Linked DNA regions of Caenorhabditis elegans. The protein of the gene in region 1 purifies or fractionates together with the protein of each later gene. This does not show direct contact. Each region holds a gene or a part of one and is shown on either strand. Other genes may lie near its edges.

What was found. Proteins that work in one complex are often made in the same cells at the same time.
Region 2: the proteins of C55A6.7 (region 1) and exc-15 fractionate together in Caenorhabditis elegans (co-fractionation; one large-scale study listed by BioGRID). This does not show direct contact.

What each region holds. Positions count from the first base shown.
Region 1 is NC_003283.11:11,517,491-11,524,464, forward strand, and holds C55A6.7 (DeHydrogenases, Short chain), read right to left. Parts: upstream 3,041-6,974; 5' UTR 2,944-3,040; coding exon 2,815-2,943; intron 2,668-2,814; coding exon 2,143-2,667; intron 2,096-2,142; coding exon 1,994-2,095; 3' UTR 1,844-1,993; downstream 1-1,843. Other genes in the region: C55A6.4 (DeHydrogenases, Short chain), read right to left, coding at 1-88, 143-271; C55A6.11 (uncharacterized protein), read left to right, coding at 3,142-3,228, 3,466-3,891, 3,937-4,044; pafo-1 (RNA polymerase II-associated factor 1 homolog), read left to right, coding at 4,276-4,316, 4,368-4,469, 4,519-4,645, 4,700-4,960, 5,013-5,622, 5,679-5,815.
Region 2 is NC_003283.11:4,481,789-4,488,699, reverse strand, and holds exc-15 (NADP-dependent oxidoreductase domain-containing protein), read right to left. Parts: upstream 5,242-6,911; 5' UTR 5,196-5,241; coding exon 5,060-5,195; intron 4,585-5,059; coding exon 4,247-4,584; intron 3,485-4,246; coding exon 3,036-3,484; intron 2,362-3,035; coding exon 2,283-2,361; 3' UTR 2,157-2,282; downstream 1-2,156.

The sequences.
Region 1 (6,974 bases):
CTTTTGAGACAAAAGTATCCATTGATTTATCACAAGTAACTTCCAATTGGAGAGCAGTAACACGAGGATCACTAATTGCTTTCAAATCCTGAAACGTTTTTTGTGCCCGAAATATCAGACATTGAAAAAAAAATTAACTTACTGTTGCTTTCTCAACATCTCTAGCAGTTGCAATAATATGACGAATATTCTTATCTTTCACGAATTCTTGAACAAGTCCAAGTCCGATTCCACGATTTGCTCCAGTAATGACAACACTTTTTGGAGACATGACTGAGGACGAAAAATCAGACTAATCGAAAGGAATATAACAAGACATGTTAACGTGGAACAAAATTCACCACATAAAAGCTCACGGGAAAAATAGTTCAAAAAAAATCTCCACGTTAAAACACAAACAGTTTGCATCTTCTCGCGAAACACTTATTCTCAGCGATCGAAGGTCAGAAAATAGATGACATTGATTTTCCGAAAAAAGAAAAAAGTGTAGAGTGATAACTGGAAACAAACAAAATGTCATCCGTTTATTGAGACTGATTGAAAAGTCTTGAATCATGAAAAAAATGACATAACTTTATGACTGTTTGAGAAACAGAAAACTCTCAATGTTTTTAGAATGAGTGTGGATTGAGGTTTCTGTCAAAGTATCTTCCACTGTGAGAGTTGTTTAGTTTGTAGAAACTGGCAGTTAACTCTGTTGTTGATTCTTCAACCTAAAAGCAAAATTTGTGAAAATTAAGAGCTAAAGTGTAAGAATCACTTACAGTGTAGGTAGCCAGTGGTCCTCCTAATCCAGTTTGAACCCATCCTGGACAGAAGTTGACCACCAAAATATGATCATCTTTCAGATCAATTGCCAATGTTCTACCAAACATATTAACTGCAGCCTTGCTCATTCTGTATGCTAGCACATCTGGAGGGAAAGTTGATGTTTTTTTTTAAACTACACTTGTAGTGTTGACATCAAGTTGATTGGCAATCAATGAACGGTTTGGCTCCTGAAAATATTAAAAGTTTAATCATCTCAACCAATAATTAACGAACCGATTTGTTATTGTATTTGGTGATTATCCCTGCATTATTAACAAGCAAATTGAGACCCTCCGATCCAACAATTTCTCCAACTTTGATCACAAAATCATCAATTGATTTATCACAAGTCACTGTCAAGGGAAGAATGTGGATCCGGGGATCCTTGATAATTCTGAGATCCTATAAATTCTCATTAAGAAGTGAAAACCTGAGTTTGCCAATGAACTGTTGAGATGAGAGAAACTAGGTAAATCAAAGAGGTTTGGTCATTTCGCTACATAAATCACAAATATACAGTGCTCCACATAATGATACGGCCACCCCCAAATTTTGGTATAACTCAAAACTGGGTTGAGATAGCAAAACATAGTTTCTTGTGAAAATGTTCGCTGTACTGGCTAACTTTCAGATAAGTATTGGAAATATACATGAACCGTTCGTAAAAAAAGATAAACCATTTTTTGATGAAAAACCATATAAAAAAATCCACAAAATGATACGGCCACCCTTGGTTTTTGTTTTCTTTTTTCGTTTTTTTTTGCAATTTTTTTTTGCTAAACGTTAGGTTTCATGCTCGTTTGTGTTTTTACAGCTATGTGTCGTGGAATAACTTTAACTGACTACGAAAAAGGACAAATTGTGCAAAATTATCTCAAGGCTTCTCGGATCGTCAGATTTTTCGTGATTTGAAACGTTCAAGAGATATGATCATTCGATATGCTTCAAATCCTGCCGCTTATTGCACCAAATTTTGAAATTTTTGCATCTTGATCTTTTAGGTCCCCATATCTGATTGTTTACTTCAATGTTAATTCTATTTCAATACTTTATCAGAAAGAAGTTTCTAAGAAGTTTGATACAACACATAAACAATACAGATTTAAATAAAACCAAGAAGAACACAGTGAAAGTAAATCAGTCGTACAACAATCATTAAATGGATAAAAAAGGGCTGAAAACTTTAATACGGAATAATTGAAAGATCTCTTCGGAAATATCCGCCATTGTGTGTTGCTCCTAGTTTGTTGAATGCCGCCAATATTTGTGAGGAAGATTCCTCAATCTGAAAAGGAACAATTATAACTATGAAATTCAAAAGCATGATCTTACAGTAAGTTGTCCTTTCCCTTTACTCATATCAGTTTGAACCATTCCTGGACAAATTCCAGCTGTTAAAATATGATCATCTTTTAGATCAATTGAGAGAGTTTTTGTAAACTGATTCACCGCACACTTCGTCATTCGATATGCCATTGCTTTATATTCACCAGAACCACTGGTATTTTCAGAAATTGAACCAAGAAATTCGGATGCAATATTAATGATTGCACCACGAGAAACGGAAAGTGTATCGCCTTCCTGTCGTTTCGAAGCTTTGATTATGAGTGGTACAAGGCTTTGTGTAAGCATCATTGGACCAATTGTATTTGACTCAAACAAATCCAGAACAACTTTTCGATCAGGTTTTTGTTTTGTTACATATGGAAGCATCACAGCTGCATTATTTATAAGAAGAGTTAATCCAGATTCTCCAACAATTTCAGACACTTTTTCAGCAAAATTTGCAATTGATTCATCGGATCCGAGTGAGAGTTGAAGAATGTGAAGTCGTGGATCACAAATTCCCTTGAGAGCCTGAAAAATTGGAAATTAAGAATGCCGTAGTCCAATACATGTTGTTGGGAAATTTTTACCATATACAAATATTAGGAACACAAACCTAATACAAATAACTATAATCTCAGCAACGGATAAAGTATAAATAAACTCGAAAAAACTTACAGTTGCCTTATCAACATCTCTTGCAGTCGCAATGACATGCTGAACATTTGGATCTTTCAGAAATTGTTGAACTAATCCAAATCCCAATCCTCGATTGGATCCGGTTACCACAACTGATTTTGGAGACATTTTCACTAGAATTTAAGCATAGAATTGAATTAACAGAAATCGAAAATCAATGAATGATGATTATTATTTCTTATCAATAGTATTTCTCTTCTGTTCTGCAAAATAAACAGCGTGATGAACTGCCACAATAATTAGTTTGGTTTATTGCAGTTTTTAGTTTATTTCGGAATTTCTGAGAAGAGATCAAAGAATTAGACAATGAAGAAAACTATGATAATTTCGATTTTGGTTAATACAGTTTTGCTCTTCAATCAAGTGTTGGTTGCGAACGGGGAAAATGTGAATGTAGGTTTACACAGGAGATGTTATAAAGGACTTTCCTTGGTTCTATTCCTGAGCTTTTCCAGTTGTCCCTGGGAAATTTTCTTTCAAATATTTTTAATGAAAGAGAAACGATAGACAAAAAAAGATAGACAAAAAACTAGGCGCAATTTGTTTTGCTATTGTTATGTTTTTGTAGGTTATGAGCAATTTCAAAATAAGATCTTTCTAGAAAATTGTAAAAATATTATTTCATTCAAGGTATCCTGCCCAATTTTATCCCGAACTCGACACAAAGAACTTCGAACTTTCATGTACAAAAACTGCACTTCCGGTTTCAAGACATGCTTTCAACAAATTATGCTCACTGAAATCGTTCGAAATGAGCAACACGCATTTCTATTTGCCTCTGGTTGTGCTTCGAAGGAAATTCTCAAGCCATTCAATCTAACCGAGGAAACATTCATGAAGTTATGTGACAAGAAAAAAGTGGGACGATGTGTTCATACATACCAGCATCGAGTTTATTATGGTACACTCTGCTGTGAAAGGAATTCGGAAAAAATGTTCGGATCTTGGCTGTGGGATGTTTTCTTTGGAAGTAGTGAAGAGCTAAATGCTGAAATGGAGAATACTGTTAGCTTTGTTCAGCGTGAAAGTATCGGAATGCACGATGATCATGATAATGTAGGCTTTAAAAGTTCACAACCCCACATTTATATAATTTTCCAGAAAGGAGCATTGGCTCTCTACATTGCTGGACCATTCATTGTCACCTTTATATTTACATTATTGTCCCTTTTACAATATTATCATGTTAATGATGGCATTTTGTCATAAAATAAATATTATCGTGACGAGAACGCTGGAAATTCACAAAACAAAAAATACTTTTTGAACACCCGCGCAAAACTGGTTATGCGCCATTGTTCCCTGCTGACGCGCATTGAGCGCTTGCGCAAAACCCGTGTGTGAGAGTTTGAATTTAATTCCCTCGGTGACTAGTTTTTTCGATTTGCAGCCGTTTCTGCCGATTGGTATCTTAATATTATAACTAAATTACTATAAAAAATGCCCCAAGAATCCTCAGATGCCAAAAGGATTGAACCTCCGTAAGTATTATTGTTTTGAATCGCTAGAAAAGTTTTGAAAACATTTTGCAGACGAAAAGTGGATTTCATGCTGAAACCTCGATTTACCAATACTGTTCCTGATGTCCCATTTGATGCAAAGTTTATGACTTGTCCATTTGTTCCTCTGGGAAGGTACACCAATTTTGAAACGTTTGACATTGTTCAATATCTCTGAATTTAGATTTGTCGAATTCCAACCTGCTGCCATTTATCGAGATTACAAGCATGCAGTCATTTGTGACGACGACATGGGTTTGAATGTCGATTTGATTGATCTAAAAAAATACGACGAAGATCCAATCGAAACTGTAGGTTTTTTCCTGAAATATACAGTTTCAAAGATAGAAATGTTTCACTTTTAGGAAATTGATGAGAAAGACAATATTTTACTGGAAGATGATGGCGCCGCTAAATTGATTGCAAAACGATCTCAACAGCATTCTAAACTTGTTCCATGGATGAGAAAAACCGAGTACATTTCAACTGAATTCAATCGGTTCGGTGTGACAGCCGATAGACAGGAGACGAAGCTTGGTTATAACTTGAAGAAAAATCAACAAGTTGAAGATATGTATCGTGACAAGCAGAGTCAAATTGATGCCATTAACAAGACATTTGAAGATGTAAGTACCAGAATATATTTTTTTGATTTAAATCTACTTTTGCGTATTTTAGGTTCGTAAACCCGTCAAGGAGCATTACTCCAAGAAGGGTGTAAAAGCTGTTGAAGAAAGCTTTGTCTTCCCTGATTTCGATCACTGGAAACACCTCTTTGCTCATGTACAATTTGATGGAGACACTATAACAACAGAATTCGAAGAAGAAGATGAACGACAACAAGCACGGGAGAGCAGTGTTATTAAAGCCATGGAATTCGAAGATCAAAAATTTGCAGCAGTTTTTGTTCCAACGATTGGATGTCTTACGAGTTTTATGGATGATCTTGAGTTAGAACGACCATTTGATGAGGATATGAAGTACGAATTCTTGCTAAGCCGTGAATACACATTTAAAATGGAACACTTGCCACCAAGGGATCGTGACGTCTTCATTATGTATCATCGTAATAACGTTTTCCAGTACAACGAAGTTGACTGTAATGTCAAGATGACAAGAAAACCAAAAATGGCATTGAGCAGAAAATCCAAATTGACACTCACATACCGAAATCCTTCCGAACTGGAACAAAAAGACATGAATAAAAGAGAGGCTGAGTTATACGAACAGCCAAAGACCAGAAAACAAGAGATTCTGGAAAAGATTCAAGAGAAGAAAGAAGAAGGTGGTGAGTAAATTTAAGTTTTGAAGTGTTATTTTCCACGCGAACATGCAATTTTTCAGGAGACAGTTCAGATCAGAGCAGTGATTCTGATGACGACAAGCCGCAGAAATCACGATCTGATAGCTCTTCGGACGTTTCATCAGATGACGATTCACCACGGAAAAAGGAACCGACTGTTGACAGCGACAGTGATTGATCTCAAATTTTTAAAATTGTTTTTCTATTTATTTTACCTAATCAAATTGGTTTTTCTCAGTAAACTTGATAACGATTTCAACTATTTGTTCGATTGATCTTCATGAATCTTCGCTAAAAGTGCAAGTATGATTTGACTCACAATTGAAGAAAAAACCAACAGCGGAAACACCAACACCCGCAAAGTTCTGTTTGTGTAGGTGTCTGTTGCTTGCGCTTATGTGCTCCACGTTCTATTCTTTGATTTGTCATGCGGAAGCAACAGGATCAGAGGGCAAGACGTTTAGTTTTGGGGGAAATTCGAACTACCGTTCTGATTGGAATGCGTATTGCGAAACATTGAATATATCCCGTAGCGAAAACTACAGTAATTCTTTAAATGACTACTGTAGCAATAGATTTTCGAAACTACAGTGCATTTTTTTTCCACTTCTACGACTTTAAAGGCGCGCGTATTTATACAAAATGGTCCCGTCATTGGTCTCGCCACGCGCTCAACAAATCAAAGGGATGCGCGTGGCGAGACCATTGCGCGAAAATGCGCGCGCCTTTAAAGTCGTAGAAGTTGTAAAAAAAGCACTGTATTCCAAAAGAAATTCATTTCAAAATTCCAGCCCGTAAATCGACACAAGCACTACAGTAGTCATTTCAAGAATTACTGTAGTTTTCGTGATACTTTGAGCGTCAAACATGTTACGCAATATGGATTCTCATAATTTTTTGTTCCCGGAATAAGAAAGTTTTCTGGGGACAGAAACACATTTAAAAAAGTACAATTATGGAACTATTGGAATGGAAATCCGTTCAATTTGTCAAAATATGAAAATAGTTTTCAATGCCACCGTTCACAGATCCTCATCATTATCATGATATTTTGGCATAACATTAATATTACCAGTTTCTGTTTCTTCCGCAACACGCCGCTTGTTGTAGCTTTCTCTCTCGGCTCTTTTTGTGTGTGCCTGTCTGTGGGTGGGGGTGGGTGTGTGTGTGTGCTTACAAAAACTTCAACAAAACTGCCTCGATGCTTCTACCAACACCCGCGCGAGAGGCTTCCCCCAGTTTCACTTGTTGAAAGAGAAAACCACGTGCGTGAAGAATGGGAACACTGTAGGTTTTTTATTAGATTGACATAAAATACAATCGTGGGCATATTGGCG
Region 2 (6,911 bases), 7.0 Mb from region 1:
TCTAGATCCCGAGAAAAATATTCCAAAATTTAAATACAATTTTTTAAAAAGGAAACAAAATTGAACCATGACCAGCACTATAGTGCGAGCAGGTTCAAAAGTATACTGGCCAAGACCGTCTGCCAGTGGACGTACAGGACATCGCCTCCTTCTGTTTCCCAGACAGCCTGCCATCTCCACACTAGTTCAAAGCCAACTACACAGCTAATAAAGGCAGGTGGTATTGTTGCCAGGAAATTGACAAAAATACAGATTTCTAAACTAGAATTCAATTTTGAAAAATAAATTTAAAAAAAAAACCATGTTTTTAAAACTGGGGGACTTTGAAATAATTATGTACTGCGAAACTGTATTTATACGAAAGTACATTGGCGAATTCAAACAGAGCTGCACCTTTCAAGTTAACTAGACGAAAACTTGACTACAAATTCAGAGCAATCAAATTTACAAACAAATAATCAAAGAAAAAGTATACAAAAGAGTACGGAAAAACATGGCGAGACCACGAAATAGCAGTATAGTGCGAATACCAAAAAAAAGTATACTCTAATCCAAGAAATGACACCACTTACAGGCGGTGTGACCACGTCATCACTCTTTGTCTCCCTGACCTCTTTCCAATTTTAGCTCCCGGGAACCGCCTGGGGTCAAATGGTGTAGGGGAATTTATCGATCGGAAATCCAGCGTTTTTATGGCTGGGGTCTATTTGGGCAGTAAATCCGAAGGAGTATTCGTATAGTGTATTAATTCTTTAAAAAAAGGATTGAACATAAATTTTAGAATGTTTAGAAAATTTACTTGATTTTATCTGAAAAATTGCACACTCTATCAATCATTGTTTACCCAGTATACAGAGGGTATCGGCTCAAAAAATCAATGTACTAAATAATTTTGAGATCAAGATAAATTTGCCAAATAGTTAATATTTTCTAGAAGATCACTAAATTAAAAACGTTTATGTTAAAAAAAAACTAGAATATACTAAACATAGACTAATAGTTCTTGTCGACGAGGCGTGCAGAACTTTTAAAAAATTTGAAAATGGATCTGAAACTAATTTTTAAGGTACCGTTGAGAAGTTAGTGCCTGTTTTTTTCAATTTTTTTTATTTTTCAAAAATTATATAAGTATGTTAAGTATTTACCATATCTTGTTCAGCTGCAAAAATCATTATATCTTTTGGAAAAGATAAAAATGTTTCATAATAGATTTTCGGAAAAAAAAATTATTTTGGAGCAGGTATTTTGAGAAAAAATATTTTTCAAGTTTGACTAAACTAAAAATATTCACCCGAGCTGAAAAACGTAAAATAATGATTTTTGTTTAAAAAAAACCGAGTAGTGAAATTTCAGAAACGCCTGCTTTGCATAGATACATTTTAGTTGTTCCAAATAGTTTTTTAAAGTATAAATATGCAGTGAGTGGGAATTTCGTCTCAATAAACTTATACACACGTTTTACATGATCAAATATAATATCTGAAAAACTACAAAAAAATCAGATTTTTCAAAATTTTCTGTCAAGTTTTTGGTAAATCTCAAAATTTCCAAAATCATAAATTTTTGAAAAATTCCAAGAATTGCTGTAGGCTTGAAAATTATTATAGAAAAAAACTGAAACTGTAAATAAAAAAATTTTGAAATTTTTCTTGAATATGCTAATTTAAATTGTTTTTTTTTTAAATATTCTACTTCATCATTTTTCATCTCAAAAAAAAATTGAAATTTCCTATAGCATTCATAATTTGCCTAAATTATTTATAGGAACTCATTCCAAATCCCACCACCTGTACCCCCACAAACTGTTTTGGCAGATTAAGTGTGGAATAACGTAAGGAAACAAATGAGGTGCCGAAATGTAGTCGCCTATGATCTGATATGCACACCAAAAAAAAGAAGTGCCTTCACTTCATCCTCAATTATGCAATCAAAAATCTGTCGTTTGTTTGGTCTCAAGGTCGATGGTCCTCTTCGTCGGAAACCTTTTGAAGTGAGACGAGACCTGTTGTCCAATTATTTGTCGATCATCAACTGTTTTTTTTTATTGTTTCGCCAACACTTCCGAGACTGGTTTATCCCCTGATATTCGACCATAAAATACATGCGGGAAATATATATATATATATATATATATATATATATATATATATATATATATATATATATATATATGATGTACTTCATTATTTCGAATCAAAATTACAAATATTCATAATAAGAAATGTGCGATAAAGAGTTCTACAATCCATTTTGTTTTCTAATTCACAAGTTGAGCCAAAAGTCTAGTGAAGTCTGATCCCAACTTTTGGAACTTTGGAGGTGTCAATGTCGTCGTGTGGGAAGAATGGATGCTTGACAGCGCTGAAAAATTATACAATGATAATTTGCATAGCTTTGTGTACTACACGAGGAAAAGTGTGATTTAATTTGTTTATAGGATTGTATAATTTTGAGCTGGAATTCTTGAGTTTGGACCATCGAATTTTTGCCAATTTTGGAAATTTCGGCAGTTGGCAAAATTGTCAATTGCCGAAAATTTCCAAAACTGGCAATTGCCAAAATTGCCAGTTGCCGGAAATCAGAATTGCCGGAAATATAATTTTAGCCTAAACATGCATTTTAAGGAACAATTTTCCTTTTTCAAGCTCAAAATGATTGAATCCTTGATGGATTTAACGCTTTCTTTCAGAAAATGACTAACTGAATACTAAAAACCAATTTGCAATTTTTTCAATTTCCGAAATATAGTTAGGTTTGAAAATCGCCGAAAATGTCCGGCAATCGACAATTTCTGCAATTTCGGCAATCGCCGGAATCGCCGATTGCCGGAATTTTTCAAAACCGGCAATTGATGAAATTGCCAATTGCAGCGCACTCTTGGTTTGGACTACTGAAGATTTACCGGCCCACTGACGGGAAAATATCCTGAAGTGAGCGAGTGGAGGGGAAATAATTTCGACAAAAATATAAAAGTTTCAAACTTGAAATGGTTTTTTTTAATTTTAAAACATTCGTTCCATAGATAAAAAACCTACAAATCAGCGATGAAAAGTCTAGTTCTGGTCTCGATACTGTTCAAAGTGTGCATATCCTCATCGCTCAGCTTAAAATCAAACGTCGAGATATTCTCAACAATTCTGTCCGGACTGACACTCTTCGGAATCGTCGAAATACCGTGTTGAGTCAGGTGGCGAATGAGAATCTGTGCAGCAGTTTTGTGATACTTGGCAGCCAGTTGTTTGACGATTGGCTCGAGAAGTGGGTCACCTTCCGGCCAGACACCGTCCGGACGAGCAGCTTTTCTGCCTGGTGAGCCAAGTGGTGCGTATGCTGTAACAGTGACTCCGAGTTTTTTGCACAGAGCACGGAGCTCTTGTTGTGGCCAATAGATGTGACACTCGACTTGTTGGTTGGCTGGCTTCACTTCGGCGGCGTCATAGAGCGCTTGAAGCTGGTTGCAACTGAAGTTGGATACTCCAAGGGCCTGAAAATTATATTTTTGGAGAAAGAACACTACGTGTAACTTGAACATGGATAGTTAACAAAATATTGGCAACTAATTTTTCTACATTCTGCTGAAATTTTATAAGTATATGTATTCCAAAAAACGTTACAGCAGCTGACACCCGGTGGGTCTAATTTTGACTACATTTTTTGAATAAACCACTGGAAATTTTCAAGAAAAAATTTAATAAGAACATTTTTAATACAAACTTTTCATCACATGGACGGCAAACGATTTTTCGGGCAAACTGCCTGTTTAAAAATTTCCGCCAAATCGGCAAACTGACAAATTGCTTACCGAATTTGCCGGAAAAAAGGCCAATAATTTTCGAAAAATTGTGGTTTTGCACTTTTTTTTTTGGAAATTTCAGAATTTCAATTTTAATCGGCAAAATTGTACGCATCCTATGAATGTTTCTACATCTGTTTTGAAAAATAAGCAAATCCTTTGAAAATGTTTAATGAAAACGGGAAAAAATTTCAAAAAGACACAGTGTTAAGTGCTTCCGTCTTATAAAAAATTCCCTCTAAACACTTCCGGCAAATTTATATAATGGCGAACGGCGAATCAGCGAATTGCCGAAAATGAAAACTTCCGGCAAACCGTCAAACCGGCAATTTGCCGTTTTGCCGAACTTGTCGACAAAAAAATTTGCCGAATGGCATTGCCGCCCACCCCTGATTCAATTACTTTATGGAAATCGAAATTGCTGATGTTCCTTCAAGACCAAATCTCACAAACCTTAAGCTTTCCCTCCTTGTACAACTTCTCCAACGCTCTCCATGTATCAATATGAGCGATTTCTGTAACAGCAAGCTCTCCATTCTCCATCAATGGAGCAAAGCTTCCCTCCTGATGTTTGAATGGGAATGGGCAATGGATCAAATACAGGTCAATATACTCAAGTTGAAGCGCCTTCAATTGGCTTTCCACACATTTTGGAACATCTTCCGGGGCGTGAGCGGTAAATGGAAGTTTAGAGGTGACGAAGATGTCCTCGCGTTTCAGTTTTCCAGATGAGATGTACTCATGGAGCACTTTTCCAATAATGTGCTCGTTTTGGTAGAGGTGAGCAGTGTCTGAATATTGAAAAAATGGGATTTTCAGTTGTCAAAACGTTGTCAAAACTGCCCTCCAAGGATCAACTTTGCCAATGGTTTTATTCGAAAACTCGAAAAACTGGACACCGTAAAAAATCTCAACATTTGTGTCAAAAAGTAGAAAAATACCTAGAATTTGAATGGGAAAATCTGAAGTTAAAGGTGTGAGTAAAGTTTGTCGGTTTTTTGAAAATGGGTCGTAGTTACCGAATGTAAAAAATGTTGGAAAAAAATTTCAAAATTTTTAATGTTTTTTTTCAATTGTGCAAAAAATTTAATTAACTGGTTTGAGCAAGCCACCACTTTTTTTTTGAGTTTTCCGTTTTTGGCCAAAAATAACATTTTTTAAATCGGTTTTTATTTTCCAATTATTTTTTTGTGACATCTCAAATGGAAGAAGAAAAGAAAACATGACTAAAAAAAAATTATGGTTTCCATCTAGGACAGCACTCACCAATAAGTCTGTATCCAGCATCAAGAGCTGCACGAAGAGCCACAGTCAGCTCAGCTTCATCCTTCACCTGCCACGTTCCCAATCCGAAAAGTGGAAGCTGAGCTCCGGTATTCAATGGAATAGAGTCTACGGTCATTCTGCAAATACTCAAAATGAATATGACCGAAAAGCAGAAAACTGATAAATGTAAAAGGAGAAGCTACGTTTAAACCAATAGATGACAAAATGATAAACAAAATAAATGATAAGAGGTATTTTGTGACCATCGGCAAGAAATAGAGACGAGAGATGAACAAACGGTTTTCGCTCAGTCACAAAAAATGAATGCCGGAAAAATAGAAAAAAGATGAAAAGACCGTAACGGAAAATGTTCAATGATGCGGAGGCCAATTTTCACTTTTTTTTCATGCAAATTCCAAAAACATGACAATTGTTTTTGTTTGTGGCAATGTGAGAACTGAGACTATTGACAGAAATTTGAAATACATGCAGATAGATGTTCATGTGATGAAACAGTAGTAGGAAGTGGACGACGTTGAAATGAAGGACGCCTAGATAAGAGGGGAAAAGTGTTGTCAGATGACCGAAAAGTGGGTGAGTTCGAAAATCATTATTTGATCGTTTGAAGTAATGAAAAAACAACAAAAGACACAAATTAAAAATTTTTAAAAGGTGAAGTAGCGTAATATCGTGCCAAAATTAGGAAATATCATAGTAAAAATTTTCAAAAATTGTTTTAAAAAGTTATATTTACAGTCAAAAAAAAAAAAATAGAAATGCCGGAAAGGCCTTCTGAAAATAAAAAGTTTATTGTTGAAAAATCTAAAAGAAACTTTAAATAGGGCCTTAAAATTGTTGTTTTGTGCAAAAATTACTTTGAATTTTTCACAGCAAACTGAAATTTTCAACGACCGTTTGAGGTATTTTTTAAACTTTCAAATAAAAATGAATAAAAATTTCAGATTGAACAAACAATTTTCTACATTTTTTTTAAATATTTGATTTGAAAAAGTTATACTTTCGTACTGAAATGAACAGTTCTGTACGTTTGCCAATTCTTTGAAAAACCGATTTTTTATAGAGTGCAATTTTTATGTGACAGCCTGGTTGTTGAAATCTTAACTATTATCAATTTGCTATACCGTTCAAAAATTATTTTGAAGTGGACGCTGGCTTCTGCAGAAAAGTTGATTTCTCATTGAATATGTAAAATGATATTGAAACCTGAAACGTGCAAAAATTTTGAGATTAAAAAAAACAATCCCATCCAGAACATAAACTGTAAAAATCTGACAAAAAAAATTCCAAAAACCGGTTGCCGAAAATAAAATGGAAAAAATAGAGAAAAATAACATATGTACAGTATAAATTATTAAATTTCCATTGATTAACGGCCAAGCAACTAAAAGTGTCTAACTAGCCTCTACTGAAAATTAAAAATAAAAATTTGAGGTAAGTACACGATTTCTTAAAATTCCTAAACTTGGGTTCAGCATTTTCCAGTTTTTGAAACAAAACTTGATAGCGTGGTTCTTCGATTTCACAGATTACGAATCTACAATATTAAAGAACATTTCGGGATTAATTTTCAATCTATCACGCATATTTGATCTACGAGAGGCTGATCTACCGGGTTCGATAGCTATCTTCCGAAAGCAGATCACTCGAGAAGGGCATAATTCAGTGTGTATTTGAGATGTCAGGTTCCTCGTGCTGCATCTTTTTTGATGTTTTTTGTAATGTTTTTAATGTTCTATGCAATTATGAAAAATTTGGATTTTTAGAAAATTCTAAAACTTTTTTTTAAAAACGATTATATAATACACCGTATTTCTACTTTTAGTATTACGTC